Linked DNA regions of Notamacropus eugenii. The protein of the gene in region 1 purifies or fractionates together with the protein of each later gene. This does not show direct contact. Links are inferred from orthologs where the notes say so. Each region holds a gene or a part of one and is shown on either strand. Other genes may lie near its edges.

Region 1 (15,982 bases):
ATACTCTTCTCCTGGAAATCCCCCCAAAAAACCCTTATTTTAGTAAAATGGGAACAAATGAATGGTGGAGAAGCAGGTTACTCTACTAAAAGGAGTCACAATCAGCAAGACAGTGATATTTCCAGCTCCTGCTGAAAACATCACTATTAAAGTGCCCACAAAGACCCTTGGTTCCTGAACTGTATACATGCTTGCAAATCCCAAATAATCACCACAGACACCTGAGAAAAAGCATTAGCTGGATAATTTTTAAAAGAATCACCCATTTAGGGACAGGCAGGGAAGAATGTTGAAGGGAATGAGAAGCATGCAGGCCTCCAAACATTCCTTTACTTCAATTCAGGCAGATACAGAAGGTATCAAATAATCGCTGTCACCTACAAAGGCAGAATGTAATGGGGGAGCTAAGGTCAAAAGAAACTCAATTCTATCATTAACCTCTTCCAAAGATCTTTCATGTCATCACTCTGCCTCCCCCCAACTCACTTCCACTCACTCACTGTAACCTTGCTACATCTTGGGAGACTGTTATTAAGAGTTGTAGCTAAAAAAATCCAACATATTGCAACCAATCTGGTGATGAGCTTCTGTATCACTGGGCCTACACCTGAAACCTTTCCAGTTTGGTAGAACCTACTAGACCCTGTATACCACTGGCAAAACCTTCATGAGTGCCGGGGGTCACGTTCACACCACAGTGAAGCATCAGAAGAGAGCCTTAGGGGAAGCTATTCTTAAACATAAACGACAAAATATAAGCCTTGTTCACAATAATTTCCTCAAAACTAGAATCACAAAAGTCCCCTGGAAAGACCTTAGAGATAGATCATTCAGTCCAATCTTCATTTTTCAGGAGGCTCAAAGGTATGAAATGACCTTATCCATAGCTGCACAGCAAAGGGAGAGGGCACAAGGACCTAAATCCACAACATGGATTTTCCATATAAATAAGAAGGCCATAGACACCTGAACCTTACTTAACTACCATAAAACACACTGGATTTTAACAAGCATGGCATGAGAACATAAATGAATCCAAAGAAGAACACGGTCCTTGGCTTCAGAACAGTTAAGCCAGAAAAGGCATAAATGAAAGGTTCCTCTGGAAGGGGTGAACTGATACATTTCCCTCCAAAAGAATTACTGACACCTAAGTTATAAATGAAATAAAGTTCCATTGTTAAGTCCTTTGTCCTATGCCATTCATGTTTTTTCTCCCTTTTTAAGTTCCTAGGTTCCTGGCAGTAATCCTTTCAGGCTGGTTCTGGTGTTTATGGAAGGCACTCTGCCTACCATGTTTGATGTCCTCTGGCCGAATCCCACTGACATCTGTTCGGTAATCAGTCACTTTCTCTGTTGGCTTGACGTACTTGTCATAAACACACTTCCCAAACTGGTTCACGATGGACACTCGGGCAAGGATGTTTTCTTCCCCATCTGGCCCTGCTCCCACCATCTCACAATCCATAGCTATGGCTTTGGTCATGCTGAGAGAGAACCAAAGGTCTGGGTTAAAACACCTAGATTAAGGGTGAATCTCTGCACACTTGTAACTTAGAGGAGGGGCACAAAGGATTCACTACCCTGACATGGCTTGTTGCTAAAGTGATAACATGCCCTGGGTTATTATCATTTAACTAAAGAGGTCCTTCATGGAAGATTATTCACAGTGCCTATCAAAGGAAGCAACCCATCTATGCCCTTCAAGGTTCCTGTGTCATATCTGTTCTATGTAGCACACATCTCTTCTCCCATGGTAAAAAAAACAAAAACAAAAAAACAAAACAAAAAAACTCAACAAAACCCTTCAACATACCCTTCAAATGCCCTTTCTTTCACCAGAGACAGATTTTTTTCCTTCAGACCCAGTTTCATTCTAGCTATTTTTGCAGCTTCTGGACCAATGGCAGCTTCAATATCCTTAGGATCTACATCATCAAACCAGATGTCTGATCTAAAAAGGAAAGAAAAGACACTTAGCACCAAAAAGGGAAAAAACCCACCTCTCCATTTCCTTCTTATCTGCTGTCATGAGGGCTATGGCTGGTTCCTAAAGTCAATGTAGGCAAAAAGTGTAGAAGGGATTCTTTAGATCAGAAGTCTGTAGGCTTTTTTTTGTGTTAGGGACTTTTGGCAGTGTGATAAAGCCTATGGACCTGAAAGTAGAATGTTTTTAAGTGCATAAAACAACATAACCTAAATAAAATAAAATAGTATAACAAAAACCCCATTTATATTGAAATAGTCAAAAAAAAAAAAAGTTCATGGACTTCAGGTTCAGAACCTCTGCTTTAAATGGCCCATCTATTTTGAATTCTGACATGACTTTGGCTTTGTTCTGAATTTGCCACTCATGGGGTATCTATCAAGCACATGCCAAAGGAATTAAGGGATCCATGTTCTAAAACTCATTTCTATAATAAATCAAAACTTAAATTTCCACATCAATGAGTCAGTAACATAAACTCACTGCTCCATTTAGCCTTCCTAGTTTTAAAACCTGTAGTACACCTGTAGTAGTGTACCTGCAGTACAAAGACCACAGAGGCCACCTGTGGGAATTATGATGGTTTCTTCCTCCTCAAACAATATTATTTGCTCTAGTTAGATAAATTCCAATTCCAAGGGAATTCAGGAGGTCCAATACTCACTCTGTGGGTGGAGAAGGAACTAATTCTTCTGCTTTCCTCTTTTCATGCTTGATGTCCCCTATTTTCTGGTGAAGGCCACCATTTTTTCTTTTCATAGTTTCAGTTCCATTGCCTGTGTCCTTTGTTTCACTGCGCTTTTTATGAGGGACAACCTTTGTGTCATTCAAAGATCCTAAAGAAATAGAAGCCTTAGAGGAAGATTGGCCTATTTTGCCTGCCACCTTCGGTAGTTCTGCATCACCATGTTCTTCCTTCTTAGAAGCACTTCTGCCATTCTGGTGGTAGCTTTTGGGTTGTTTTCTGGGATTCCCCAGAGAGGCAGGAACAGATGTTTCTGGATTTGGAGTTTTTTGTTTCAACAGCTGATAAGAATCAAAGAAACCCACATTTTAACCTGGCAATTAAACCATCAAAATTTATGGCTCTAAGAAAATCCTTTTTTACCATGAGCATTTAGGCAGCAGCATCTAAACAAACATTTATTAAATAACCACTATGTGCAGGTGCATCAACAAAAATGATATTGTCTTTACTCTCAAAGAGTTCCTCTTCTTCACTTATACAATAATGATTATTTTCAACTCTAGTTTTTCTTTCTCCCCCTCATATCTTGTTTTAAATTTGTTTTCAGTGTTCCACAATCACTTCCAAATATCTTAGATATTTTCCCCTTCCTATCCCTCTTCTCCCCTACCTCCCCACTCCCTCCCTGAGATAGCATACAGTTTTATATAGGTTCTACACATACATTCCTATTACATACATTTTCACCTTAGACATGTTACATAGAAGAATTAAAATGAATGGGAGAAATCATAAAACAAATCAAAACATAATACAAAAAGAAAATGACCTGCTTCATTCTGCGATTGAATTCTATAGTTCTATCCCTATGTGTGGAAGGCATTTTGCCTTAAGAGACCACTGAGAATTATTTAAGTCTTTGCATTGCAATGAAGTACTAATTCTACCAGAAAATGTCCTCGCACACTGTGGTTGTTACTGTGTACAAAGTTCTCCTGGTTCTGTTCCTTTCACTCAGCATCAGATCATATAAGTCTTTCCAGGCCTCTCTGAAGTCTTCCTGTTCATCACTTCTTATATCACAATAGTATTCCATTACATTTACATACCACAATTTATTCAGCTATTCCCCAATTGATGGGCAACCCCTTGATTTCCAGTTTTTGGCCACCACAAAGAGAGCTACTATAAATATTTTTGTACATGTGGGACCCTTTCCCATTTTCATGATCTCTTGGGGATACAGTCCTAGAAGTGGTATTGCTGTGTCAAAGGGTATGCACATTTTTGTAGCCCTTTGGGCATAGTTCCACACTGATCTCCAGAATGGTTGGATCAGCTCACAGCTTCACCAACAAGAAATTAGTGTTCCAACTCTCCCACATCCTCTCTAATATTTTGTCATCTTCCTGTTTTGTCATATTAGCCAATCTGATAGGTGTGATGTGGTATCAACTCTAGTTTTTCTTTGAAATTAAACTTCTATTTAAATATAAGTGAGAACTTTCATTTACATCCATATATTATTTCGGTCTAAACTAGCCTTTTCCAGTTGTAACCTCAAATCTAACACTTATTTCTGAAGAATTTCCAACACCTAACACAATAAACACCTGTGGATCTTTTTGTTTTGAGGCCTAGGGCAGGCCCTTCAACTTATTTTATGCAGTTATAGTATACTAAGTAGTACTGTAAAAAATAACCCCAAAATTTACTTTGAAATAAAAATTTTCAACCCAAATTTCTTTATCTTGTCTTATGGATTTCTTTTCCATTGGGGGTTAGGGGGGAGAGACCCATAAAATGGGTGCAGGTAGGTGGTGGCACAGCGAATGGAGCACAAGGCCCAGAATCAGGAAGACTTAAAGTCAAATCTGGCCTCAGGCTTCACTTGAAGTCCCGACTGCCTCAGTTTACTCAATTGTAAAATGGGGACAATAACAGTACCTACCACCCAGGGTGGTTGTAAAGGATCAAATGGGATAATTTTATAAAGTGCCTCGCACGTCCTAATTGCTAGATACATGGTTTTTAAGCGCAATACAAATGTTTTTATGACTACTTCTGGATCCTTCGAGGTATTCCTTAGTGTTAAACAGGAAGATCATTCCCTGCCCTTCCTTTAAAAAGCATGTGGTCGGTACCATGTGAAGTCCAGAAAAAAAAGAGAAGGACTCATGGACCTAGAGCTAGAAGGAGCACTGGAGTGCCTCATTTTACAGAGGAGGACACTGAGGCTGGAGTGGCTAGGTGCCTTGCCCAAAGTCGCCCAGCATGAGCCCAGACATGCCGACTTTCCGCGCAGGGAACCCCGCTTACATCTTACCTCCTGCAAGGCCTTCCAGTTGTGGGAAAATTCTTGCGGCCCCCTGGGGGGCAGCGCCGCCCGCGCCGCCCGGACATCCGGGCTCTCTAGCTTCTTGGAAGCTTCTGCTGCCGCGTTGGGGTACTTTTTCCAGAATTTCTTCTTCTTTTTCTTCTGTTTTTTCCGATCGGGCTTCTTGACAAGCTCCGGCTTGGCCACAGCCCGGCCCGTGGAAGGTTTGGCGAGCCCGGCCTTCACTTTCATCTCGGTGCCATCCGAGGGCCCCGAGACAGCTAGAGACCAAAGGACCCCGTGCGTGAGCCGGCCTCAGACCCCACGCGAGCTCGGGGTCCCCTCCCGCCCGGCCCCGGACACTTCCCGAGGCTTCTCTGGGGATATTGCCCCCTTTTCCCGTCTCCTCACTTACCTCAAACCCTGTCCGGCCCCGCAGGCCTAGACACCCCCCTCGAGGCTCTTCGAGACACAGAGAAGCCAGTTCCCCGTTCGCCTGTAGGAAGCTGCTCGGCTTCCGTAGCCCGATCTCTAGCGGTTCTCGTGCCGCTACGCACGCATGGGTTGACGCACGCACGTACGGACGCGACTCTCCCGGAAGCCCTTGCTCTGTCAGCCGGCTGGGAGCGAGGCTCCGGTTAGCAGAGTTCCGAGAACCTGTGTATGGATAGGTCTGCGTCGGTACTCTGGCTGGAGAGGGACCCAAGTCGGGGGCTCGCGACCGGGAACTGGGTGGTTGGATTTGGCGGTCGCAGCCTGAGCTCTCCGGAAGGGAAGAAAGGGGACCGGAGGAAAAGAGGGAGGGGAGGAAGCCACATGGGACGTGAGGAATCGGGGGGACTACAATCGGGGTAACACCAAGAAGTCGCGTTTGTCGCCCTCCTTTCCTCCCCCTTTTTCTCCCTCTCCCTTCTCGAACTTTCTCCTTCTCTTTGAAACTTGGACTGTCTCCATTTTTCTGTTTATATTTCTCATGCTAATAAATGCTTTTTCATTCATTGTTTCTGGCCCAGTGCTGATCACATCTCTATAATAGATATACACGTGTGTACATATATATGTATGTATATGTAGTGTGTATATATAGATATGTGTATAGATAGAGATATATATACACGTGTGTACACACGTGCGCATGGTGCCAGGTAGACCCCCAAGGTGACCGGACGAGCAGCTCTGAAAAGGGGTCCGCAAGCCCCGCCCCAGGGGTGCTGCCCTCCCTGGCACCCCACACACCCCGTGCCTGGCTCTCAGAAGCTACGGCGTGTGCGCAGACCACACCAGAGTAAAGGCCGCCACGGCGGCCGAAGGGCCATTGCCGGTGGTGCTGCCGGGGGCTCTCTGGAAGGGTGAGGCACCGACTTAGCGGAGCTCTGCCTCGCTTAAATCCCCGTTACCCGTGAGGGGAGGCAGCTGCCAGAATGGCACTACTGGCCCTCTTCAGAAACCAAAGGGCCAGCACCAACATACATATGTATTTAAGTGCATGTACGCTGAGGTATCATGTATGGTAGCTAGCGTTGATACAGCACTTTGAGGTCTGCAGAGAGCTTGGTAAACCTTGTTTCATTTTGTCCTCACGAAATCCTTGGGAGATGGGTGCTGTTACTCTCTCCGTTTGCAGATGGGGAAGCTGACCGAGGTTCGGTGACTTCCCGAGGTGTACACAGCCAGTGGCTGAGGTCCGATCTGAACGCACGTCTTTCTGCTTCCAGTCCGCTTTGTTGCCTCCAGATGCCACAGTCATCCAGGTCCAACCAGAATAGATGTGCTCATTACTGCCACGAAGGATCCAGTCGGCACACTCTGGTGCTTTCTAGAGCATGAATTCAAACTTTTTTGAATCCCTATTGTGAGAGACACCAAAAAGTTAAGTTTCTGCAGAGGTTATTGGTTGATGAAGTCATTGAGAATAAGTCAGATGACAAGAAAGTTAGCACACTGCAGGTGGACTCAACCAATCAAGAGACAGACAGTGGCCTTCAGAAAGCCACAACATTTGTGATAAGAAGGTCCAGGCCTGAAACTGCCGGACCAGTAGGGAAATATGACCAGGAATAACGTGGGGAAGGCTTTAATGTATATGTATGTAATGTGTATGTATATATAATGTATATAAGCAGACACCCCACATAAAATTATCCCTCCATTTTCTGATCATGGGTCGTATGTTAAAGCATGGTGGAGTGGGAAGATCACACCAACAGTGGTTATGTAACAGGTAGGTAGAGAAGATGGTGATCCCATGGAGAATGGACCAAGCTGTCTCCTGGTGGGAGGATCTGTCCTGAACTAAGGATATATAGCTCAATCTTACTTCTGTATTCAGAAGCAATTCATGCTCTTCCTTTCTAAGGGGTGGGGTGGGGTTTGAGCCCTCTTTTGGCCAAAGGTGATCAATTCCTCTGGACTCTGCTGCAATAAATTTTCCTTGATACCTTATTAGTGTTAAGCGTGTCTTTAACACTATCAGTAAAAAATTTGATCATGAACTTCTAACATACATGTGTGCATGCATATTTATATATTTATAAAATGTATTCTTATGCAAATCACATATATCATATACACTGAACTAATATGAACATTATAAAACAGACATTTTAAAAGGATAATATTGAAATAATTTAAAATTTTATCAATGGTACAAAAACCCTTTTTGCCCTCATTTGGTAAATTCTCATTTGAATTACTAATATTTTTAATAAGAGCAATGTGATTGAATATGCTTCGTTATTTCTTTAAAATGTTGGTTTAATACTAAGATACAAAAATTCAAAGATCTGATTCTAAGTAAGTACATTATTTTGATAGCTCATGCTAATAGCTGTTACAGCTTAAAAGATGCCTCACAAAGATCCATTGACCCAAGTGGAAGAAATGCTCTGTTGGTTGTACTTAGTAAATTGTCTTATTAATTATCTTAATATTAATATTTTTTCATTTTAAACTTAAACACTGAAAAAGTATTTCCATATAAATAGTAAAATACAGAACTATGTATTGAACTGTGAATCTGTAATTTATATTGCTAATTTTAAAACAAATAATAAATTCCACATACTTTCAAAAGTATTCTGCTTGTTTTTGCTTTATCTGAACTTCCCTCTATTCACTTCCATGAATTTTAAAGATAGTTTCAATGGCCCCTCTTTTTCTTACCATTACTAACCACACCCTTCTCTCCCCTTCCTCCAATAAAAATGGAGGCCAAAAAACCCACCTTTTTTAAGAAATCAGCATAGGTGAACCAAATAAGACAAGATAAACCTATACAATGGCCATATAGTAAAATAAAGCTTGTCTCTTAAATGTATTACCTCTCTGTCAGGACGTGTGTAAAGTGCTTCATTACAGATCCTTCTGGGGATGTGGTTGGCCATTGCATTAACCTGAGATTTTTAAGCGTTCAATGTTTGTAAGGGGCCCAGAGGGTCTCTGGGGGTGCAAGTCAGAGGCAAAGCCTGTTCCTGTGGCAACGGTGCTGATGCACACCCTGGCAGAAGCTCTGTGTGACCCTGGAACCTGATGTTCCTGCAGATACTGGTGCTCTGTACAGTAAAGTTACAAGTGAGCCTGGGAACCCAGGAACTAGCTGCAGGAACAAGATAAGCTTCCTTCCTTACTGCGGGTGTAAGGATATGGAATAGTCATGAGATGGTAAAGTAATGGGATGAGCTCAGCATGTATGTGATTGGTGGATCAGCCTTTATAAACCCTAACCCTCAGCTGAATAAAGAGTTGTTGCCTGGATCATCTTGTCTCCAGTCTCCTTCCTTCAGGGCCCACAGATTGGAGGCCTGTGGGTCAGGGGGATCCAGGGGGTTCGGGCCTTGACCCCGAGCAAATGTTATTTTTGTTTACAATACTGTTATCATATAAATTGTCTGGTTCTACTCAGTTTACTCCGATTCAGTTCGTGTTATTCAGGATTTTCTGAAATAAACTTTTTTCATCATTTTTATTGTGCAATAATATTTCAGTACATTTATATACCAAAATTTACTGAACCATTCCCTATCTACTTCTTTTCTTTTCCATCCTCCCTTCAAGATCAGTAAGTATGTTTGTGTTTTTGTTGCTCTATAGCAGGCCTGTACAACCTGTGGCCCACCAAAGGATGTCAGGTGGACTGCGAAAAATATCTTCCTTTTTGCAGGCTGCAGGTTGTATAGGCCTGCTCTATAGGTATGCTGCAGAGCAGTGCCCAGACTGAGAGGAAGTCCCAATAAAAGGTCAGTTCTTTTCCCCAATTTCCTTTCCTGATAACTATTTGTTCACAGACAATATAGTATAATTTATTATTTAGTCATGTGTTTCCAGCGAACTGAATTTTGCTTCGACCACAATGAGGCCACAGGTTATGAGAGAGAGAGATGTAAAGCTAGGCAGAGAATTAAACTTCTGCTTAGGTGTTAAAAATTTTCCTAACTGGAGGCTCAGAGTAATTTTGACTGACCTTAGAAATTTTCATATAAAATAAATTCATTAATGCCACAGTGGAAAGAAACAAGTAGACCTTGTGGGCAATTATCTTTTCCCCAGGCTTAAAACAAGTTATTTTATCGTAAATGCTTGGAAAAACCTCTAAAAATTCATTAAAGGTTCATTTTTTCCCCCCATGTGGGATTACACAGCTTTGTAGGGAAAATTATTCTTAGTTGTAATCCTTTATCTTTTGCCCTTTGGAATATTTTATTTCAAGAGCTTTCATTTATTGTAGAAGTAGGCAGGTCTTGTGTGATTCTGGCTGGTTCCTTGGCTAAGCACAGTACTTGGCACATGGTGGCAGCTTAATAAATAAATGCCTGTCATATGCCTTGCTATTTGATTTACTTTCCAGATGCAGTAATTTTTCTTTGACATGGGAGCTCTGGATTTTGGCTGTAACATTCCTGAGACTTTTTTTTTTAGAAGGTGATTGGTAGATTTTTTTCTTTACTTTGGCCTGTAGTTCTAATGTATCTGTCCAGTATTCCTTTCCTTTCTTTTTTAATGAAGATTTTCAAGGAGCCCAATGATTCTTAAATGATCTCTCCTTGATCCGTTTACTAGGTCAGTTATTTTTAAAGATGAGATATATTACATTTTCTCTTTTTAAGCATTTGTTCTAATGTTTCTTGCTTTCTTGTAGAGCCATTGTTCTGTTCAGTCTATTTTAGTTTTCAGGGAGTCTCTTGTTTGGGTAAGAGTGATCACTTTCTCTTCTAAGTTATTTATTCTCCTTCCAGTCCTCTCCTCCAGAGCTTTTGTTTCATTTTCATCATTTCATTTCTTCTGAATATTCATGTAATTCTTATGGAATGTCATTTTTACCACTTGGAATCTCTGCTTGGGGCTGTTAAAAAGTTATTCACTCCTTCTTTGGGAGCATCTTCAGACACTGGTGGTATCTTCTTTGGATTATTCATCTCTCTAGTTTTGGGGGCTTTGTGCCAGGACCAGATTCCATTCTCATTTTTCAATCTAGGGTGGAGTAGTTAGCTCTGGTTGGTCTCTCCCTGAATCACCTGTGGCTCTGTGCCAATTTACAACAACCAAGCTTATAGCCTCCCTAGATCTTTGAAGTTCAGAGTGCTAGAATCTTAGGTCACTCTATGTCATCTCAGGACGATGTATTAGGAATTGTGGAGACTCTGGTCACCTGTCCTCTCATACTGAGCATTGCTGAACCACACTGGTCACTCCTGTTCCCTAGGGCTTCCAGGGTCCTTATCCTGAGATTTTATGACAACACTGGGGATTTCTCCCTTTTCTGAGACTTCCTGATGGGGCCTTCCACTCTTGATCTCTCTAGATACAGAACCCCAGAGCCTATACAGGACTCTGCCCTAGGAGACTGCCCTTTCCTTTGCCTGCTCTGGTTGGTGATGGCTTTGCTGGTAGCATCTTTTGTTATTGGGTGGGGGTTTCTGGCTAAATTTTTGTGCAATTTTGTGATGGAAGAAATTGCTTATTGTAATTTCTCATTGAATTAAAAAAAATCATTATTTGTTCTAGTACAAATTTCAGGGTTTTTGCTGGAATAGGACTGTGGGAGCTATTTGGTCTGCTTCTGTTCAAGCAGCCATCTTGATCACAATTCACTGGCTATGTAAAGGTTTTTGTTGAAATCAGCTAGTATGTTTCTATCTTCTTTGATGTTAGTTGTTGCAAACTAATTAGAAGATATTGTATTTTTATATTTTAAACAGGTTAAAAAACCCACTGGAACTCTTCATTTCAAAGATTTTCAAACAAGAAAATTCAGTTTCCAAATTTTAGGAGACATGAGAATTTTCATGGGTGGCACCCTTCTAATTTGGGACTTTAAATGCTTAGTTTCTAAATGCCATTAACTATAATGGCTTTATGCTGTCATTAGCTAATATTGCAAGGCACAATATACATCTACTTTAAGGTTCATTATTAACAATACTGAAAATAAATTCATATCAAATGTTCTTGATAATTTTGATTTCAGGGTGTTAACTTTTCATATTTGATTAGACCATCATTTTTTTTAACCTCACAATGTGGCTGACAAAGACAAATGTGGCTGACAAAATCTCCTAGGAGCAGAAGGGCCAATTTTGCCATTTTATTGTTTGCTTGTGCCCTTATTATTAGCATAGTCTTTGGTTTCTTTGCAGGAATATTCTTAAGTCACTTACCTGGGCATGTGTATACTGACATATACTGCAATATGTCAAAAGCATGTGAAATGGAGGGAGCACTGTCTATGCCTCTATGTAGTGGAATGCCCATGATTCCCTTAGGATACCTTGTATACCATACATGTTACATCGGTCAAAAAATAAACATTAAGTGTCAGGCATTGTGCTAAGTGCTGGGGATACAAAAAGAGGCAAAGTTCCTGCCTTCAAGGAGCTTACAATCAAATGGGGAGATGACATGCAAACATATATATACAAAGCAAGTTACATACAGGACAACAGGAAATAATTAAAAGAGGGAAGGCACCAGAATTAAGAGGGGTTGCGGAAGGCTACCTGACATATGGACTGAGTCAAAGAGCCAATGTTAACCCATGTCACATGTTAAACATGAGTAAAAATGAATTACTTTCTTATTTGTTTAAATAAAGATATAAATAGAAATTCTTCCTGCACTTCAATATATTGTCTTACATATCCCTAGGATACATGTGCTCTACTTTGGAGACCACTGAAATAGCACAAAGCTCTGACTGAGGATGAAGATTTATCCCTGTTTTCTTGAAATACCTAGGGAGAAGGATTGGGTTCCATTCATTGACTGAAATTTCCCAGAACATTCTCCCATACTTTACTCTGTCAAGGCAAGCCACCATGATTGCTTGCAACTTTGGGAAAATGCCAAAACTATGGAACCCAATTCAAAAACAATAGTAAGAAGTATATCACAGGAGAAAGTCACATGTCCTACAGCGACAAATTTACATATTGATCTGAGAGTTGTCAAATTTCATCCCTTCTGTCCTGTGGTATAAAAATCACTGTGGAGCTGAATCTTTTTGCTGTTAGAAACTGCCTCTCTTCTCTAACTTCTCCCTCTCTATTTGGTTGTTGTATAATATGAACTATCTCAGACCTCTTAACCTTGCAAGTCTCCTAATGAGTAAACATTGCCTAATAGCTCCCTCCCAGCTGTTGCTGTCACATTTGACATTGACCAGATTTCCCTCTTGGGATCTCCATTCCCCAACATAATTTGCGTAGCTGTTTTAAATTCTGAATCTGTCTTTTCCCTAAAATTGGATTTTGTGTAGTGCAGAGGGAAGACTTCAGCAAAGTGTGAGTTACCTTTTCTCTGACCATGCTCAACACGTGGGTGATCTTTGCTTCTGCTTTCTTCCTTCTGGGATCTTTCCAACTTCCAGATTTTCAAAAGGTGAGTTTAATTTCTAGAAATACTAATATTTAAGGAATTAGGCTCCTTAAAAATCTGATGATATGGGTTGAAATTGACCTTTATTTTGTTAAATAAAGGAAACTTGGGAGATAACTTGGATTCAGGAAGGTGGCAATTCCATTCTAGACTCTAATGATTACTAGATATATGACTACTAGCAATTCTCTTAAACTCTCTGAACCTCAGTGTCTTCATCTGTAAAATGGGGATAACTCTAGTGCCTTCTTCAGGGCTGTTATAAGGCTCAAATGAGATAATTGTACAGTGCTTTATAAACTTTATAGCAGTACACAAAAGTCAGCTATTCTTCTTTGACATCAAGTTGTTTGGCATAAATTAAGTCAGAACTCAGAAATCCAGGGGACTAAAGCCAGTTAATTGCAGAAGGAATATTGTTATTATTATGGTGATTGCTTTTCATCTAGTCAAAGGCAAAACATATATTTACTAAATCTACCTGCTTCTTCCTCTCCCTTTCTCTTTCAGAGGTTTCTGATGGCTTTGGATCCAGAAAATATTTTCTTTTATTTTGGTGCTGTTTCCACCCTAGAAGGTACTATTCTGTGGTTCTTTTTAGTAAGGGAAACATTACTAATTTTATCTTTCTTGGTAATTAGTTGAGTCAATATATCTTTGATTTTCTTTTTTACATCCCCCACTTTAGGCTAAGATACACGCTGCAAGGACCTTTTTCTTGGAAGCGTGTGTGAGGGGGAAGTTACTTCTCTTCCATGGACCAAGTCTCTTCCTGCTAATTAAATGCTTGCTGTTATCTTACTGACAAACATAAAGAAACATGATCTGAGTCGTTTCCAGGACAGAGCTAGAGATCTGACTCCAGAACTTTCTGTAAAAGAATCTTTTTAAATATCTCAAAGCAAATAGATGCTAACTAGTTTGGGCAAGTACCTTCCTTCTTCTGGGTTTCTCTCTGTCATCTCTAAACGGATGCAGTTAGAATAGATACTCTCTAAAACCCCTTCAACTTTTAACATTTTTTTTTTTATTCAGGAGGGATTATTTCTCTTTATAGAAACAGAGTTTTTTTGTGGAAAATGGAGATGAATATCATTGCCTCAATTTCTTTTCTTTTTTTTTTTTTTAGCCAAAGAGAGTTAATTATAATTAGTACAAAGTCTTTTCACTCTCATATATCAATATGTTAGGGATTGTTGTTAATTGGGGATTTAGGAGCATGATTAATGTTTTCATTCTATGGAGTTCCTAGTCAGGAACAGGGAATTAGGGGGCTTTCTACTACTGAAGTAGACTCACTTGTTACTTGCAGTCTTGTCTTAAAGCCTGCAGACGTTTATTTCATACCTACAGTGTTCAGAGTCAAGAGGTATTGTGGCATAGTGAACAAATCAATGGGTTTGGAGTGTAGACCCTTCCCCAAACCATTGTGAACCCCCAAGATCTAAGAAAGGCCTAAAACCTGGATTGGCTAATCAGGAGAGACGTTGTGGCCCACTGTGAACTTAATCTACCATAATGCTTTGCATGCTCTGGCATAATAGACATGCTTCGAATGAGCTCCAAATGCCCCTTCCTATGTCAACACTCATTCTTCTGTTAATGACTACCAAGGACAAGGTGCCTTGACCAGACAATAATGAGACTTTTCTTAAGTATTTTATGGACATATACTGTGTTATGTCATGTTAATGGTAAAAGAAACAGATATCCTGGGATTGTAATTTCAGTTGACACTTTGTCAATTGTCTTATTGCATTTACAACCTATCCACTTGAGAGATTCCTTTCTCATATCATGGCTAACCCTATAGAGATTATAATTTTGGCTGACATAGGCATCCTGAGCCAGGAAGAGAGGAAGGGGCGAGATGGAATTGCTCTGAAGATATAAAAATCTTTTGTCCATCCTTGAGTTCATCGTCTCATGATGAGCTCCCACACCTATCTCTATATGCGTGTTCTTCAAGCTTTGAGAGAAATAAACCCTCATATTCAGACTAATTTTGTTTGTCTTTCTACTAACAAACTTAGTAATGGTTGACAGGAGTCAGTAGGATCTTGTTCAGATCTGGCTTCTGAAGCTTACTGATGTGTGATCCTGGGCAAATATATTACTTAGTCTTTGTGTGCCCTGGGGCTTGTGAACCCACTAAGTCTTAGGTGGTTTTGTTCTGACTTGGAGAAGCCACACTGGGATTCCACATTGCTGACTAAAACACAGATCTTTGGGGTGTTAGTTGCTTTGCCAGGCACTGTTAGGTACTGGGGAGACAAAGACAAAGAATCACAATCTGCCCGTAAGGAGTTTACATTCTACCTAAGGGTGGAGGTGGGGGAGAATACAACACATACACAGAGAAATATAATATAAGGTAGTTTGAGGAGAAAGAAAACACTAAATTGGGACTATATAAAAGGTATGGTCAGTTTGCTCTTGGCCAAGTGGGGAGAGGATGATAATTTTAAAGATGTGGGTCTTTAAAGATGGAGGCCTCCTTCTTCCTGCCAAATAAATGTGCCAAGGAATTCAGTTTTGCCTATTTTCTCATGTGGAAAGAGCTAAGGAAATGCTAAGCTAAGATTTCCTAAATCACACTGCCTATCTTGTTTCTTCCAGCCCTAGAGTTCGATGTGCTTCAGCTCAGCTGCCTTTGTGAAGACCATCAGATTTCCAGGTTACATTGTAAGACCCAGCGCTGCTCCTTCCAGGCCCTAGGAGAACTTTATACCTTCCAGTTCCCTGAGGAGTTTAGCCTCCTGATCCCATCGTTTACTAGTCAATTGGCGATTAACTCCTCTTTCTGGCTACTGAAACAATATCCAGACAGCTGCTTTACAGGAGGCAGGGTCCTGTTCCCTGCTGGGGTTGCTGCGAAGATTACTTACTGTGCTGGGCAGTTGGTGAGTGAATGCTATGATTGTTAGCGGTTTCATTTTGTTAGCGTTTGTTAGCTAGGTAGAATATGTAAGAGGATGGGGAATGTTGAGGGTGATCCTGGTATATCACAAAGTAGAAGGATGGGAGGAAGACTCTGTGAAAATATGTATAATTACTTTTTCTCAACTCTGTACTTGAATGTATCTTACAATGCTCCAGTTATTAAGTTGGTAAAGCTGGT
Region 2 (15,180 bases), on another chromosome or scaffold:
GAAAGGTCTCTTGAGGGCCCCTGAGCATGATTTGAAGGGATCTAGGGATTCTATGAGGCAGAAGTGATCAAGGAAAATAAATGGAGGGTGTGTTTGTCCTTCATTGCAGAAGACCATGCCAGCAGAGAAATGATGGCATGACTTGCACTTGACTTTGAGTGACGGAGGGCTGTGCAGGTCACAGCCTCACTTCTCCTCCAGAGCCATCTGAATCCAGTGACCAGATATTCATCAGGATGACTGGAGATGACCCAGGAGGAGGCAGTGGGGGTTAAGTGACTTGCCCAAGGTCACACAGCTAGTGAGTGGCAAGAGTCTGAGGTAAGATTTGAACTCAGGTCCTCCTGACTCCTGCACTGGTTCTCTATCCACTGTACCAATCTAGCTGCCCCAAACGGTGGGTAACAACCACCTGTACAAAGGTAAAGAGGTGGGAGACAAGATGTTATATGTACAGGAAACACCAAGTGGACTAATCTGGGTGGAAAGTAGGATATGTGAGGAAGAATACTTGATGAGAAGTCTAGAAAGATAAAATGGAGTCCTATCATGTTGTTGTTCAGTCATTCCAGTTGTGTCCAATTTTTCATGACACTATTTGGCGTTTTCTCAGAAAAGATACTGGAGTGATTTGCCATTTTCTTCTCCAGCTCATTTTACAGAGGAGGAAACCAAGGCAAACAGGGTTAAGTGACTTGCCCAGGTCACACAGCTGGCAAGTGTCTGAGGCCAGATTTGAACTCAGATTCTCTTGACTTCAATCCTGGCACCCTATCCACAACACCATCTACTTGCCTCAAAGCAATATTATGGATTTTAAATGCCAGGTTGAGGAATATGTATTTTGTGTTAAAGGCTATCTGAAGCCATCAAAACTTCTTAAGCAAGAAAGTGTCACTTTCAGACTGTTGCTAGCAGTATATTCTACAAAGTAGGCTCTTAATATTTTAAAATTAATTCTTACTTTCCTCTCTGCTTTTAATTTTTCCATTTTAACAAAAATTTCTTCTGAAATCTTATTATTGATTAATGTTGGCATGGAGGTTGAGACTGCAAAACAGTTTAGTATAATGGAGGAAATAGTCTGGGGAAAGTGCTTTGCAAAGCTCAAAATGCTACAAAAATTTGAGTCATTATTGTCCTATTAAAAGCAAATTAACCTGTGAGGTTAATGTTGGATGTAAGTTGGATGCGGATAGAAACCCATCCACATCTATTCATCCTACACTTCCCTGGCTTCTTTAGGCTATGTCCCATGAAGGTGAACTTCAGCAGGTACTACAGGACCAGAAAAGCTTTGTACAGCCCAACTGAGGGTGCTTTTCTGTTTACTAGAAGACCTAAGGGTGAAGAAACTTATCAATAGAATTAGTCAACAAATGGCAAATTTTTGGGGTCATAGCAACTCATGAAGAACACCTATCAACAAATAGAGCACTTATTTGTGTTGGTGGAGGAAGTAAAAATGAAATTCAGTTTCTTCCCCCAATGTAACAAAAACGCAGTTTTTCGTTTAGTTTTCAGCCAATAGCTGACATTTCTATAGTGCTTAATACTGGATCCTCATAGCAGCCTTATAGTGATGTAGGGATTATTTCTACTTTGCAGATGGAAAAAAAAATATAGAGAGAAATTCAGTGACTTTTCCATGGTCATACACAGCTTGTGTCAGACAGTAACTACAATCAGTTATTTGTTAGTTCCAGACCCTATGCTCTTACAGCATTGCACCACATTGCTTGTAGGGAAATATATGAATTGAAAGCTGTCTGTTAGCTTTTTTGATTATTTTAATTACCCTTTCTCAATTGCTTGGTTATAGTGGGTTGTCTAAAACATGTTATTTCCAGGGTTAGGAGAAAGAAAATCTCTTAAAAGTCCTAGAAAGCTAACTACAAAGAGCCAGATGTCAAATGGTTGGCAAGCAGGCTGACTTGCCATTCTAGGGAACTTAATTTCCTAATTAGTTTCCGTAAGGGTTGAAGGCTTCCCAAGTTAAAATAAACCCTTGAAAGGCCTAGCATGTTGCCTTTCCCATAGCAGGCACTCATGTTCATTGATGACTTAAAACAGTGCAGTCTGCTGGAGAGTATTAGACTTGGAGCCACTTTTTAAGTTTAAATGCCATTGCTACCATTGGTTACTTATTTCCGTTGGTAATTTGGTTACTCACTTCCCTTTTCCAGCCCCATTTCATTTATAAGATGGTGGCAATGGTTTACACTAAATGATCTCTAGGGTCCCTTCCAATTAGGCAAATTTTACTTGACCAGAATGTAAATTCAGTTTAGCATTTGAATCTGCAGTCCTGGATTCAGTTAGAGGATGTGGGCACTGATACTTGTGACTTTGGATAAACTTTTTAACCTGAGTCTATTCTTTCATCCATAAACTGAGAGGTGGCCCTAATGATATCTAAGTTATATTTTAAGTACTATTGAATTTGGAATCTCCGAAACTTTACTGTGCAATCATGTAATTATTTGCTATTTTGGGGGGAGTGTGTGTGTGTGGTATCTACAGTTTTATCAGATTGCAGAGCTTCTGTTGAGGAAATTCCTTCTTCTGCTTGTGGGGTCTGCCTGCCTCAAGTGTTTACCCACTAAAGTGATTTTTCTAAAACAAAGGTCCAGTCATGTCAACTCCTCCGTCCTCCCAACTTAATAAACTCCAGTGGCTTCCTATTGCCTCCAGAAGCAAATATACAATGCTGTTTGGCATTTAAAGTCTTTCAGAACCTACTCTTCTCCCCCCCCCCCCCCTTTGCAGTCGTCTTCTACCCTACTCCCCAACACTGGTCTCCTGGCTGTTCTATGAACGAGATACTCCCTCTCTCTGGGCATTTTCTCTAACTGTCCCCCCCATTCCTGGAATGAGTTCCCTCTTCTGATCTGACTACTTAACTCCCTGGCTTCCTTCAAAGTCCCAACTAAAAATCCATCTTCTAAAGGAAATTTTCCCCAACACCTCATAGTTCTAGTGCTTTCCCTCTCTTATTTCCTGTATATAACTTGCTTTGTAAATCTGTTTATATTACCTCTCCCATTTGATTATAAGCTCCCTAAGGGCAGGAGACTCTTTTGCCTTTTTCTATTTCCAGTGCTTACTTAGCAGTGTCTGTCGCCTAGCAGGCACTTTATGTTTGTTGAAGTGATAATCTAGTTCTAATCCCTTGACCTTCCAGCTGAGGAAACTGAATCCCAGAGAGTAGATGTTACTTGTCTAAAGGATCTGGTCAGACTTTTCTGAATCCAAATCCACCTCTTTCCAACGTACTATGCTGCGTTCAATTCATTAATTGCCAGACAACGCAAATTTATTTTCAGCAATCTGGGACATTAAAAATATTCATATACTTTTACTATGGATTAATTTGAATTTTCATTTTAAAAAGTTAATAGGGGTTGACCCTAACTGACTAGAAAACATGAATCTGTCAGTTTTTAAAACAGCAATAGACAGCTCGGATGGAATATCAGTGCTTCTGATATAGTAAAAATAAGGCAGCCTTCATAAGTTAAGCATTTCTTTAGTGGACTTATGGGAAAATAAGGAGAATTACTGGTGAAAAAGCATGTGAGTTATGATCTATGTTGGTAAGAGCACTCGTACACCAGTGAGAGGGCAAATTCAAAATAAATTTTTATGGGACCAGCATAGAATTACTTCCTAATCCCTTATGAAATGGCTCCTGAAATTTTCATCTTTTTAATGCAGTTACCATATTCTGTTTTGTATTTCCATGAAGGCCTGATGTATGCTCCTGAAAAATTCCCTTCATTTTGGCATTGTCCTGCAACTAATACAAAATATGCTTAATATACGTTCAACTGAAAATTCACCATTTCCTCTATTTTGAACCAACAAAAGGATATGGGTTGCCTAAATATCCACTACTTAGGGATACCGTGCTAAATTATTACACAGTAGATTCTACCGTTTGGCTAACACAAGCCAAAATATTTGAGGCAATACAACAGGAGACTATGGGGGATGAGAAGAACCCCATGCCAGTTATCTTTACTCATACTTACTTGTATTCAGATCCCATCAGTTAGGATGAGTATTCAAATTAATGATTTTAAACAAGTTCCCTCTCCTAGGAGCTTTCAAGTTTAACATTTATGTGGTATGAATGTACAATTAAACGCTGTAAAACCAAAACGTACCTCATGTTTTTCCAGTTTTTAGGTATTTTCCCCAGACAACCAAAAGTTTTGCAGTATTTACTTTCCCTATCAACCTGGCAGTCTGGTGGCTGCAGGCTGCTGTTTTGGGGAGGTAAACCCAGAAAGCTACAGTCATATCTCTAAAGATAGAAGCTCCCAAATAAGAAACATTTTGGATACGAATGTAACATTTATTAATCTTGACAACTGGTTGCTTCGAAGCTTAATTCTGAACTCACAACATGAAACTTTTACTAATATGAACTCTATCCATACCTTCCTGAACAATTCCCCCCCCCCAAAGTTTTCAAAGTCTAGAAAACCATTTCAAGTCAAGCCTGAGTCGCAATTCCTTCGCAAAATATTCCATGATTACTCTGTCCCCCATTCATCTTTTTGAAAGTCCAAAGCAATTAAATTTTGGGCAACAAAGTTAGGTGCTTAACTATTTAACACCAGACTTCTCGAGGACAGGGGGCCATGTCTTTATTTCTGTATCCCACTGAGGCCTCCAACAAAAGAAGGCACTACCAATATTGTTCAGTGACTGAACACAAGTCAGAGAGGAAAATGCATCACTTCCTTCTCTTTCCTCCTTGACGGAGTCCTTTTTTGCCCCCCACGCCAGGTGGTCCCCCTTTTCGCTTGCCTCCTGGGCCAGGCGGTCCGCCTTTGCCCCTCCCCCCTGGACCTGGGGGTCGCCCTTTCCGCTTGCCCCGATGGCCCTTTCTGTTGCCCGCCTTGGCCATCTTCCTCTTCTTGGCAGCCTCTTCCCGGTCCTCCTCCCTCATCTGCTTGTTGGTCGCCCGGGTCACGTCCATCTTGGGCCTCTTGCTGTTCATGACCCTAATCAGCTCCAGCTGACTCTTCTTTTCCGCCGCGAAGTCTCCGATGTTGGGCTGGAACTGGCGCTTCTTGCCGGGGCCCTTGGGCGGCTTCTCCTTGGGCAGCCGCTCCTGGAAGCGCCCCACGGAGGCGGTGGAGACCTTGGCCACCTGCATGGCCTTGCTCAGCTCGTGCCGGCTCTGGTAGCCGGTGGGGTGCATCCCTCCCTGGCTGGGCAGCTGGACCTTGTGCGCCCGGGCGATGTTGCGCAGCCGGTTCAGCTCGTTCTTGGCCACGCGCTCCTTCTTGGCCTGCAGCCTCTTGGCGAACTGGTCCTCGTTGGGGTCGGCGCCGCCGGGCACCTCGATCAGCCACGCCTTGGTGTCGTCGCGGGCTCGCTGGTAGCCCCAGCGCCGCCGCCACTGCTTGCTCTCCTCGTCCCACACCAGGCTCGTCTTCTTTCGCGGCCGGATGCCCTTGAGCTGCGCGAACTGCTGCCAGCGGGTGAGCGGCCGCGGCTTGGGCAGCGGCTTCTCGCGGGGCAGCCGCAAGCTGGGCTCGGGCAGCTTGGCCACCACCGCCTCCTCCACGCGCTCCGCGGGCAGCTGCCACAGCTGGTTGATGAGCAGCTGCACGTTGTCCCGGGCCAGCCCCTGCAGCTGCGCCTCCAGGGCCGGCCCGCTCCGCTGCCGCAGGCCCGTCGGGGGGTTCCGGTCAGTGGCCAGCAGGTTGCCCAGGTCGAATTCGAGCTCCAGGTCCTTGTGCACAGTGATGAGCCGCAGCTTCTCCGCCTCGGCCCGCTCGGCCTTGGCCAGCACCTCTTCCACGCTGCGGGTCTCCATGGGGACCTGGGGCTCACAAAACCACTACCGCGCGGCTCGGACCATGTGCGGCTCCGAGTCCTCTCTTCCGGAAGTCAAAAGCTTCCTCTTCCGGTGCCACAGGAGGAATTCCGGGCCAACGCGCCGTGACACGACGGCAGGGGGCAGCGTTGCCGTACTGATTGGACAAGGCACTCGGAGACTTGAGTTGGGAGGGGCTGTGGAGGGGGCGGTGGCGTGTCGTTGTGGGACTACAAGTCCCAGCGGCCCAGCTAGAACTACGGATCCCAGAATGCGGTGCAGCTCGGCTCCCCACGTGTTAAGAGCTGGTGAGTAGCATTACAAACTGAGGTCCTGGAAACTCAGAGCCAGGATTTTTGTCTCCTCACCTCACCTCTTAGAAGTTAGAGATATGAAAAAGTTGCAAAATTTTTTTAAAAATGTAAATGAATAAATTTTAACCTGATTTTTTTACATGGAAAGCACCCTGCAAAAATGAGTTGGGGGATGGAGGTAAGGATTATTAAGGTCCTACTATGTGCCCGTCGTTGGTGCAAAGTGCTTTCCGATACTGGGTCATTTGATCCTTTCCCAACAGCCCTGGGAAGAAGGAGCTATTGTTATCGACGCTTGAGGCTGAGAGACGTTAAGTGACTTGCCCAGAGTCACACAGCTGGTGAGTGTCTGAGGCTGAATTTGAACTGGCCTTCCAGATGCCAGGCTGAGCGCTCTGCCCACCTTGCTTCCTGGCTGCCTGTGACATTACAGAACTGCGGCATCTGCTCCTTTAAGGGAGATGCTGAAGTAGGTGAGACAGGTATTAGCCTGACATGGCAAGGTCTGGTAGCAAAAGAGAGTTAGATGGGATCCCCAAGGCTGCCACACAGTCTGCTTGTCTCTGATTCTTCTGGGAGACCTTCATTCTGTAAGAGGACTGTAACACCAGGAAGGTGATGTCATGACTTGCAAGTGAATTGGGTTTAAGTGAGGGAGGGCTGTGCAGAGTCACCAGCCTCACTTTCTCTTCTGGAGCCATCTGGGCTCAGTGGCCAGATACAGCTCAGGACAATTGAATGTGGCACAGGATGTAATGGGAGACCTTGGCCTTTTTAAGCTAAGGTCTTTCCCAGGTCTCAGTTTGACTGAGGCAATACCCATTCAGTGATTAAGGCTAGGTAAGAAATGGGGTGAAGAATGGCCTCTTTTACCTAGTTAAAAAAAAATCAACCTGCGAGGGTAAGACCCTCCAGGTTTCTGGCCAAAGCAGAAATAGTTGCTATTTACATTTGGCCAAATAGCGTTTCTATTTTGGCTAGAATTTGCTTAGGGAGTCAATAAAGATGGATAATTCAGGCAACAAACACTAAACACTGTTTATGAGAAGAACACTGCTGGGTACTGGAAGAAAGATTTTTAGATTAAAAAATAACGACAATGGCTCTTCCCTGGTAGGACTTTTCATCTAGAGGGGGAGTATAACAAATGAATAACTACCATACAAAATGATATGTCATTGTTGTGTTAAAGAGGTATAAACAAAATATTTTGTGAGATCTGAGAGGATCTGGGCTGATTAGAGAGATGAGGGAAAGTTTCAAAATGGTGGTGGTAGAGTTCACATTTGAATTGGGCTTTTGAAGGTGGCTAGGGGAGAGAGGAATTTCAGGCACAAAAAGTGAAGCAAGATGAAGGCAGATGGGAAAGTTTAGCACTTGTAAGAAACAGTTGCAAGATTCCTTAGAGGTCAATGAAAAATGCAGTTTATCTGGAGCATAGAGTATATGGGAGTTTATTAAGGATAATTTTATAAATGGTAAGAGACTTGAATGCCTGGATGAGCTGGATATTTATTCATTTGGAAATAGAGAGCTACTCAAGGGTTTTGGGTAGAGGAATGACATGGCCAGTTAAGAAATACATTTGGCAGTAGCATAAGGGATTTATTCTACTGGGAGGGAGTGAAGGCAGAAGGAGGAGTCTATTGTAGCAATCGGTGTTGTTGCTGGTGAGAGCCTAAGGATGGTAATGCAGGAATGGGGAGAAGAGATGAATGGGAGATGTTGCAGATAACTGGCTGGATATGGGAAGTGAATGGGAGAGCAGTGTTCAAGAGAACACCAAAGCTGTGAACATGGGAAATCAGGTTGTGTTCACTTTTGGGTACCACAATTCAGGAACAGCATTGATAAGCTGGAGATGGTTCAGATGAGGTCAGCCAGGATGGTGGAGGGCTGGAAGATAGCCTGGGGAAGAGAAGACTTCTGTTTCATGCACTCTACATTCCAGGCAAATTGGCCTGCTACTTATTCCTTATTCTATGTCCTGTCGCCATGCTTTTATACTTACATTAAGGATCTACTTCCTCCTCTTTTCTTTGTCTTAGATTTTTTTTACCATTCTTCAAAGTACAGATTTGGGACTATCTCTAACATAAGGCATTTCCCTAAAATTACTGTATTTATTTATCTTTGTATATGTTCTTCTCCCTTCCTGCTTCCCTTTAGAATGTAAGCTTCTTGAGGTTATTTTGTTTTTATATTTCTACCTTTGATGCCTAACACTCTCTAGCTACCTGACCTTACCAAGTCAAGCTGAGTTTCAGTTTCTTCATCTGTAAAAAGTTCAAATCTGACCCCAGACATGTACTAGCTGTGTGACACTGGGCAAGTCACCCAACCCTGTTTGCATTAGTTTCCTCACCTGGAAAATGAGCTGGAGAAGGAAATGGCAAAACCAGTCCAGCATCTTTGCCAAGAAAACCCCAAATGGGGTCATGAAGAGTGGGACATGACTGAAAATGACTGAACAGCAATAGTCCAGATGTAAGGTGATGGCATAGAGCTTGTACCAAGGTGGTAGCAGTGGCAGAAGAGAGAAGAAGAAATGTATGAAGGTAAGATTTGGCCACAGATTGGAATTGTGTAGGAAAATTGGGAAAAAAGGATATAGTCAGAGAAATATATGACCTGAAAAACATAATCCATTTGCACAGCAGTAAGGAAGAATGACAAATAAACATGCTCCACGTTTGCTAGCTCTCCTTTCCACTGACATCTATCTAATCAATGTGAAGAACATACAAAGAGGATTCCTGATAAATTGGGTGGACCATCTTCCCTATGGAAGGACATGAATGAGTATCCAAATGGGTAGACATGGATGGGTTACCCATTTGCATTTTTGGATGGAGTGCCCACATGGAGGAGATCACACATTCACTGGAGTATTGATAAACTTGAGAGCATTCATAGAATACCAACATGGTGAAGGACATTGAGACCATGCCATATGAGGATCAAATTGAAGAACTGTCTTCAAATATTTGAAGGACTGTCATATGGAAGAACAAGTAGACTCATTCTGCTTGGTCCTAAGAGGGCAGAACTAGGGGTAATGGGTGGAAATTGCAAAGAGGTTGATTTAGGTTTGATATTAAGGAAAACCATCCTATGTTATTAAGGTTCAAAAGTGGAATGTGAAGACCTTGGAAGGTCTTCAGTCATTGGCTGTGTAGCTTCTTGTCAGTTTTGATGTGGAGGAAATTCTTGTCTAGGTACAGGTTGGACTAGAGAGCATTTGAAATTCCTTGTAGCTCTAATAGTCTGTTTGTTCTGTGATTGTTTAATATGTGGTAGTCTTCTTCCCAACCAGACTGCAAGTTTCTCAGGGGCAAGAACAGGGTCTTATATAGCTTTCATTTTCTCCATAGCACTAAGCATAGATGCTTAGGAGAAACTCAACAAATATGTGGTTGGATGGTTAGTGATTACAGATATTTGTAAATAAAAATGAAAAGTGTACAGTTATCCCTTCCACATCACAGCTTTATATCATGGTTTAGATATATTATGGAGATTGGCATAAGAAATTAAATGGGAATTTTGGGGAAGTTTTGCAAAAGTCTCAGACAGCACACAAATGCCAGAAGACAACACAGAAAAAGTTTAGAAACTTGGAAATGCATAATATATAGATATATAGTTTTGTATAATATCAATATATTTTAATACCATAATAATTCAAATTATGGAGAACGTTACTTGGAAATAATTCAGTGCCCACATTGACAGGGAGACAGGACTTCCTGAGACTTTCCTTCAGAAAATGCCAAATACCCAGCAAGGTTGCTTCTGGGACTGTATCCCAAAGAGATCATAGAAATGGGAAAGGGTCCCACATGTACAAAAATATTTATAGCAGCTCTCTTTGTGGTGGCCAAAAACTGGAAATCAAGGGGATGCCCATCAATTGGGGAATGGCTGAACAAGTTGTGGTATATGATTGTAATAGAATACTATTGTGCTATAAGAAATGATGAACCGGACAACTTCAGAGAGGCCTGGAAAGACTTACATGAACTGATGCGAAGTGAAAGAAGCAGAACCAGGAGAACTTTGTACTTAGTAGCAACCACAGTGTGCAAGGAATTTTTCTGGTAGATTTAGTACTTCATTGCAATGCAAGGACTTAAAAAATTCCCAATGGACTCTTTTTTTTTTTTTTGAAACAAAGTTGCGAGGATTTATTATACAGGCGTGCTACACTTGGCCACAAAGAAAACAATCAGTTCGGAATGGCCGCGGCCCCACGGCACAAACTCCAAGAGGCGGGCAGGTCGGTGGAATCGGCCTTCAAAAATGGCATGTCCTTGGTTGGGAGGGTGTCGGACGGTGGAGCCAGTCGTCAGTCGGTGCTTTGCGGGGAGGGAGGTCGGTCCATCTCTGCTCCTGTGGCCGCCGTGGGCAGCAGTCTGCTTACTTGGACCTCTGCCTCATCTTTCTTCTCTTGCGTTTCAGCCTACGCATTCGCTTCTTCCTCCACTTGGCTCTCATGGCTCAATGGGAGTAGACAAGATGGTGCTAGGAAGGGGAGCCCAATGGACTCTTGAGGCAAAACGTCTTCGACATCCAGAAAAAGAACTATGGAATTGGATTGCAGAATGAAGCAGATCATTTTCTTTTGTATTATGGTTTGTTTTTTTTTATGGTTTCTCTCATTCATTTTAATTCTTCTATGCAACATGACTAAGGTGAAAATGTATTTAATAGGAATATATGTGTAGAACCTATGTAAGATTGTACACCGTCTCAGGGAGGTAGTGGGGAGGGAGGAGGGAAAGAAGGGGAGGGAGGGGAAAAAATCTAAGATATTTAGAAGTGATTGTAGAACACTGAAAACAAATAAAATAATTTAATAAAAAAATGTAATTGAAGAATAAAAAAGTGCCAAATGGTATTCCAATACCTTCAAAAAAATTGAAATTCTTTCCTGAAGGCTAAATTATCTTCAAGAGTATATCTCCCAATCCTGAAGATGGTCTAGGAAATGTGCTCAGGTTTTAAATATTGTCAATTATTTCCAAATCTCACAGAATATGACCTTCTAACACAAACTAAGACACGAAGCAAATACAAAACAAAATGCACAAAATTATTCACTCATCCTTTTTCCCTGGAGAAGATCTAATTGTTGTCAGTAGGGAAAGAACCAATCCACAATCATAGAGTCCCTAAAAAAACTCTCCCTTTCTGGAAAATTTGTTCCTCTTGGGCCAAGTAGAATAAGGGGGAGGTTCTGATAAGGATCAAGGGAGCAGCTCTTATTTCCCCATTGCCCTGCTGCTGCCATCTGTTGTATTTGAGATTTTAACAAAAGGGAAAACTGAGGCAGATCTCTGCACAAGATAACATTTATTAGCAGAGGCATGCTACCTGTTAATAAGTGGGTCAGTGGATTGCCTCCATTTATGTTAAAGACCCTGAGCAAAAGGACTGTTCCTCTTTTATAGGTTTTGGGGAGTACAGAACAAAAAAGAGAACAGAGTAAGTGATACCATGGGACTGGAGTCAGCATGACTGGTTGCAGGGAGAAACATGACTGGTTGGAAGTTTGGTAATGGGGGCTAGCAATGATCCTCCGCCTTCTCTCAGGAAACTAAGAAGTGCTCATTCTTTGAGTTCAGGTGTGAGACAACAATCTAGACTTTTGGACGACAAACCAGACGTCTCTGAATTATAGCTTGGTGGAGTAAAGATAATCAGGTCCGACTCTCTTCCTTGAGTTTAATTCCTTGAGGCAGGAGAGTTGGATTTTAAAACTGAACTCTGAGCTAAATTCAGAGATAAAGAACCATCCCATATGCTTATAAAATGTATTGCACCCCCAATTTGGGGTCTTTTGGCTATTTGTGGGGTCAAGAGATCTGCTTTGTTGATGGGTAGTACCTCTACTAATAAAATATAGCTTTGCTGGGAGAAATGTACCCTGATTTACCCTTTTATTAAATATCCAATGCAACCACAAAGAACAAAGAACAGAATTGTGAAGATGAGGAAAATAACACAATCGGTGATAGGGATGGCTGCATCGTGAGGGTGAGGACAACAAGACTGACGATGTTAAGAAGAATGAACTAACACTCATGTGGGGCTAGCACCACCCTTCTCTGTGTTAGAGAAATGCTTGATTAATTTATGGGCCCCATCAGCATCCCATGGATAATGGACCAAGGATACTAGACTCCCTGGCTCCTACAAGGGAGATGAAACTCTCCTTAATTGTACAAGGGATAGGCAAGGATGGACATTACATTTTGTGGAGATGTACCAGGTTAGCTTGCACGACTTCAACAGTTGCAAACACATGTCATGGAATTTTTCAGGAGCTTACGGCCTACCTGCAAGGTTAAAGGTAGTGGACCAAACTCCCTGGTATCTCTGCATTCCTCAACAATAGCAGATTTCCTTGAGGCAAGAATAGAACAGAACTGAAGTTCTAAACTTAGCTCATAGGCAAAGAGATGAGAAAAATATGGCTTGAGTAATACAAAATGGTGCAGTAAAACAGAATAGAATAAATTATAAAGTGATACAGAATCAATTTAATTCCTTCATCTTTAAGTCTGGTAAGTCTGAATGCAGGACTGTGTATGTATGTGTGTGTGTGTGTGTGTGTGTGTGTGTGTGCGTGCGTGTGTAAAGAGTGAGACAGAGAGAGACAGAGAGAGAGTGCACTTTTTGCTGACCAGAATGCTAACACAGATCAGAAGTTTTGGTGCTGGCCAGTATGTATACAATAAGGGCAGAAATATAGGAAAAGGTAGAGGTTGATAGCCTCTGTGGCTTTACCAGTTTTTTGGGTTGTTGTACTTGCGCTCAGAGAGATCAAGGAAGTCTCCTCCTACCTGCTGTCTAATGCCACCCCCATCCTCCACTTCCACCGAGTCTTATACAGCAACTATGAAATTTTAGGAAGTTGATTGACCATCAGGAATTTGACAGGATTTAAAAGGAATTTCCTAACTCCAAGTCAGATAGTTCACTAAAATGGAAAGCCGCAGAAGTCAATCTAAAGTGTAGAGTTCATCTTCACTTTCTGTTAGTTCTGTTTCTGTTAGTTCTTTTTATTGAGTTCCTGGCTGAGTGTCCTCATCATGACTTCTATCTCTTTGGAAGATTAGAAGTGCTTTAGTTCTGCCTTGTAAAGGAACAGGCTTTTAGCAGTTGCACCCTAGAAAATGTCATTGGAAATGGATTGTATATTTGAAGACCAGTAGATGGTAGCAGAGAGCAGTGAATGCCGCAACTGAAGCATATGGAAACCTGGGGAGCCTCTTCAGAATGTGGGCACGTGAAACAAAGCAGAGACCACACAGCATCCAGCATGAAGCATCTGATGCCTAGCACTGGAGGTGGAACTTCCGCTGGAAGGCAGCACAATGGCAGTACCAGAGAACCCTGGCATTTCTGCAGCCTCAGAGATGGAAGTGTGGTCACTACAAATGTGTGTTTATTACTACATTGTGCTGTTTTGATAGATCATCGCATATAACAATAACATAAAATAAGATAATAACTAGCATGTACATGTGCTGGTTCCTTAAGACTTGTAAAGTACTTTACATGTGTTTTCTCATTTGATCCTCATAATCCTATGAAGTAATTACTATTATTATTTGATAAAAGAAGAGACATTAGAAGTCATTGCATCTGTCCCTTTTGCTTTATAGGTACAAAGGCTCAGAAAAATTAAACTTCTTGTCCAGGGTCACATAGCTATTAAGTATCTGAGACAGGGCTTGAACTTAGGTCTTCTTGACTCCAAGGCCAACATTATCTATCACACCAAGCTGGAGGGTATATTTTTCATCCGTCTGATAATTTAGTCAGGTAATTCTCAGACCACTGGTTCAATTCTAGCCCAAAATATGGACTCGAGCTCTAAGCACTTTTTTCACTTTAAACTCTTAGGAGCCTAAAGCTTTTTACATTTGGGCAATGTTTATAGGATCATCTAGAATGTGCTATGTCTATTGTGGGTAAGTGAATTTCCAATTCAAGATGGTAGAGTTGCCATGTGTCATGTGGAAAATAAGCAAAGTAGAAGAGTTCCAGGAATGTGGGAGGCAGAAGGACCAGTGCTCCTGTTAACCAAAGCATGTACAGGCTGAAGGATTCCATAGATGTTAGTGATTACTATTTTACTTAGCTGAGAAGGATGCTAGTTTTCCTCTGGTGTAGCTACTCTCTCTTTTCTGGTGTTTTCACTCAGGAAAAGGAGGTATGTGGTACAGTGGGAAAAATACTGAATTTGTAGTCAAAGGGTTTGGGTTCAAATTCCAACTCTACAAATTCCAACACACAGTTTACAGTGTGACCTTAGGCAAGTTAACTTCACTAGATCTGTTTCCTCATTTGGAAAATGAGGGGATCAGAAGGACTTCTGAAGTTCCTTAGCAGCTATGAGTCTATGACATTATGATATGTATTCAGAAAAGCAGAGTTGTATAGAAACGGTAGAAAAAAATAACATCAGAATTGCCTCTACAGACTTTAGATGTATAAATTAGTGTGGTATCCATTCAGTCTCTTGAGATCTACACTGGCAGATTTGTTTCAGTTGTCCTCCTTGTAAAAAGAAGAAATATGGGTTTTTTTCAAGCCTTAATTCAGTGAGTCATCTCATTAAAAAACATTTATCCAAGCATCATCTGAGGTGGTGGGGATACAAAGAAAAAAATGAAAGTCTGCCCCCAAGATGCTTATATTCATCCATCCAAATATTCATTCATTCAACTCCATAACTATAACTAGCCCAGGCATTCCAGTTTAAGGAATCATGCCTTAACTATAGCCAACTCTATTTGGTAAAGCTGGTATTGGGCACGGAACTCATTCAGTATGGGAAAGGTAGTAGAAATGAGCTCTGTATTTACGTTAGAAGACCTTTGTAAGTTAAGAATTTTCTCCCTGATATGTGTTTGGTGGTGGGTACCTTTTAGAGGGAAGCGTTAGCACCTCAATGAAGGTGACAAGAGCCAAGGCTCAGCAAATGGTGGCAGTGAGAACAACCCAATGGGAAAGAGG

The links.
Region 2: the proteins of REXO4 (region 1) and RRS1 purify together in Homo sapiens (co-immunoprecipitation; 3 studies listed by BioGRID and IntAct, with this or other methods). This does not show direct contact. The link is inferred for Notamacropus eugenii from reciprocal best matches to the Homo sapiens genes REXO4 and RRS1.

Annotation. Positions count from the first base shown.
Region 1 is NC_092872.1:485,571,230-485,587,211, forward strand, and holds the start of REXO4 (RNA exonuclease 4), read right to left. Parts: upstream 8,498-15,982; 5' UTR 8,313-8,497; intron 6,847-8,312; exon of another isoform or gene 6,840-6,846; 5' UTR 6,631-6,839; intron 5,650-6,630; 5' UTR 5,408-5,649; intron 5,274-5,407; 5' UTR 5,245-5,273; coding exon 5,002-5,244; intron 3,014-5,001; coding exon 2,652-3,013; intron 1,955-2,651; coding exon 1,817-1,954; intron 1,488-1,816; coding exon 1,294-1,487; intron 12-1,293; coding exon 1-11. Other genes in the region: ADAMTS13 (A disintegrin and metalloproteinase with thrombospondin motifs 13), read left to right, coding at 12,790-12,864, 13,372-13,438, 15,481-15,764.
Region 2 is NC_092875.1:286,368,944-286,384,123, reverse strand, and holds RRS1 (ribosome biogenesis regulatory protein homolog), read right to left. Parts: upstream 5,926-15,180; 5' UTR 5,837-5,925; coding exon 4,745-5,836; 3' UTR 4,340-4,744; downstream 1-4,339. UniProt on the Homo sapiens protein: Involved in ribosomal large subunit assembly. May regulate the localization of the 5S RNP/5S ribonucleoprotein particle to the nucleolus.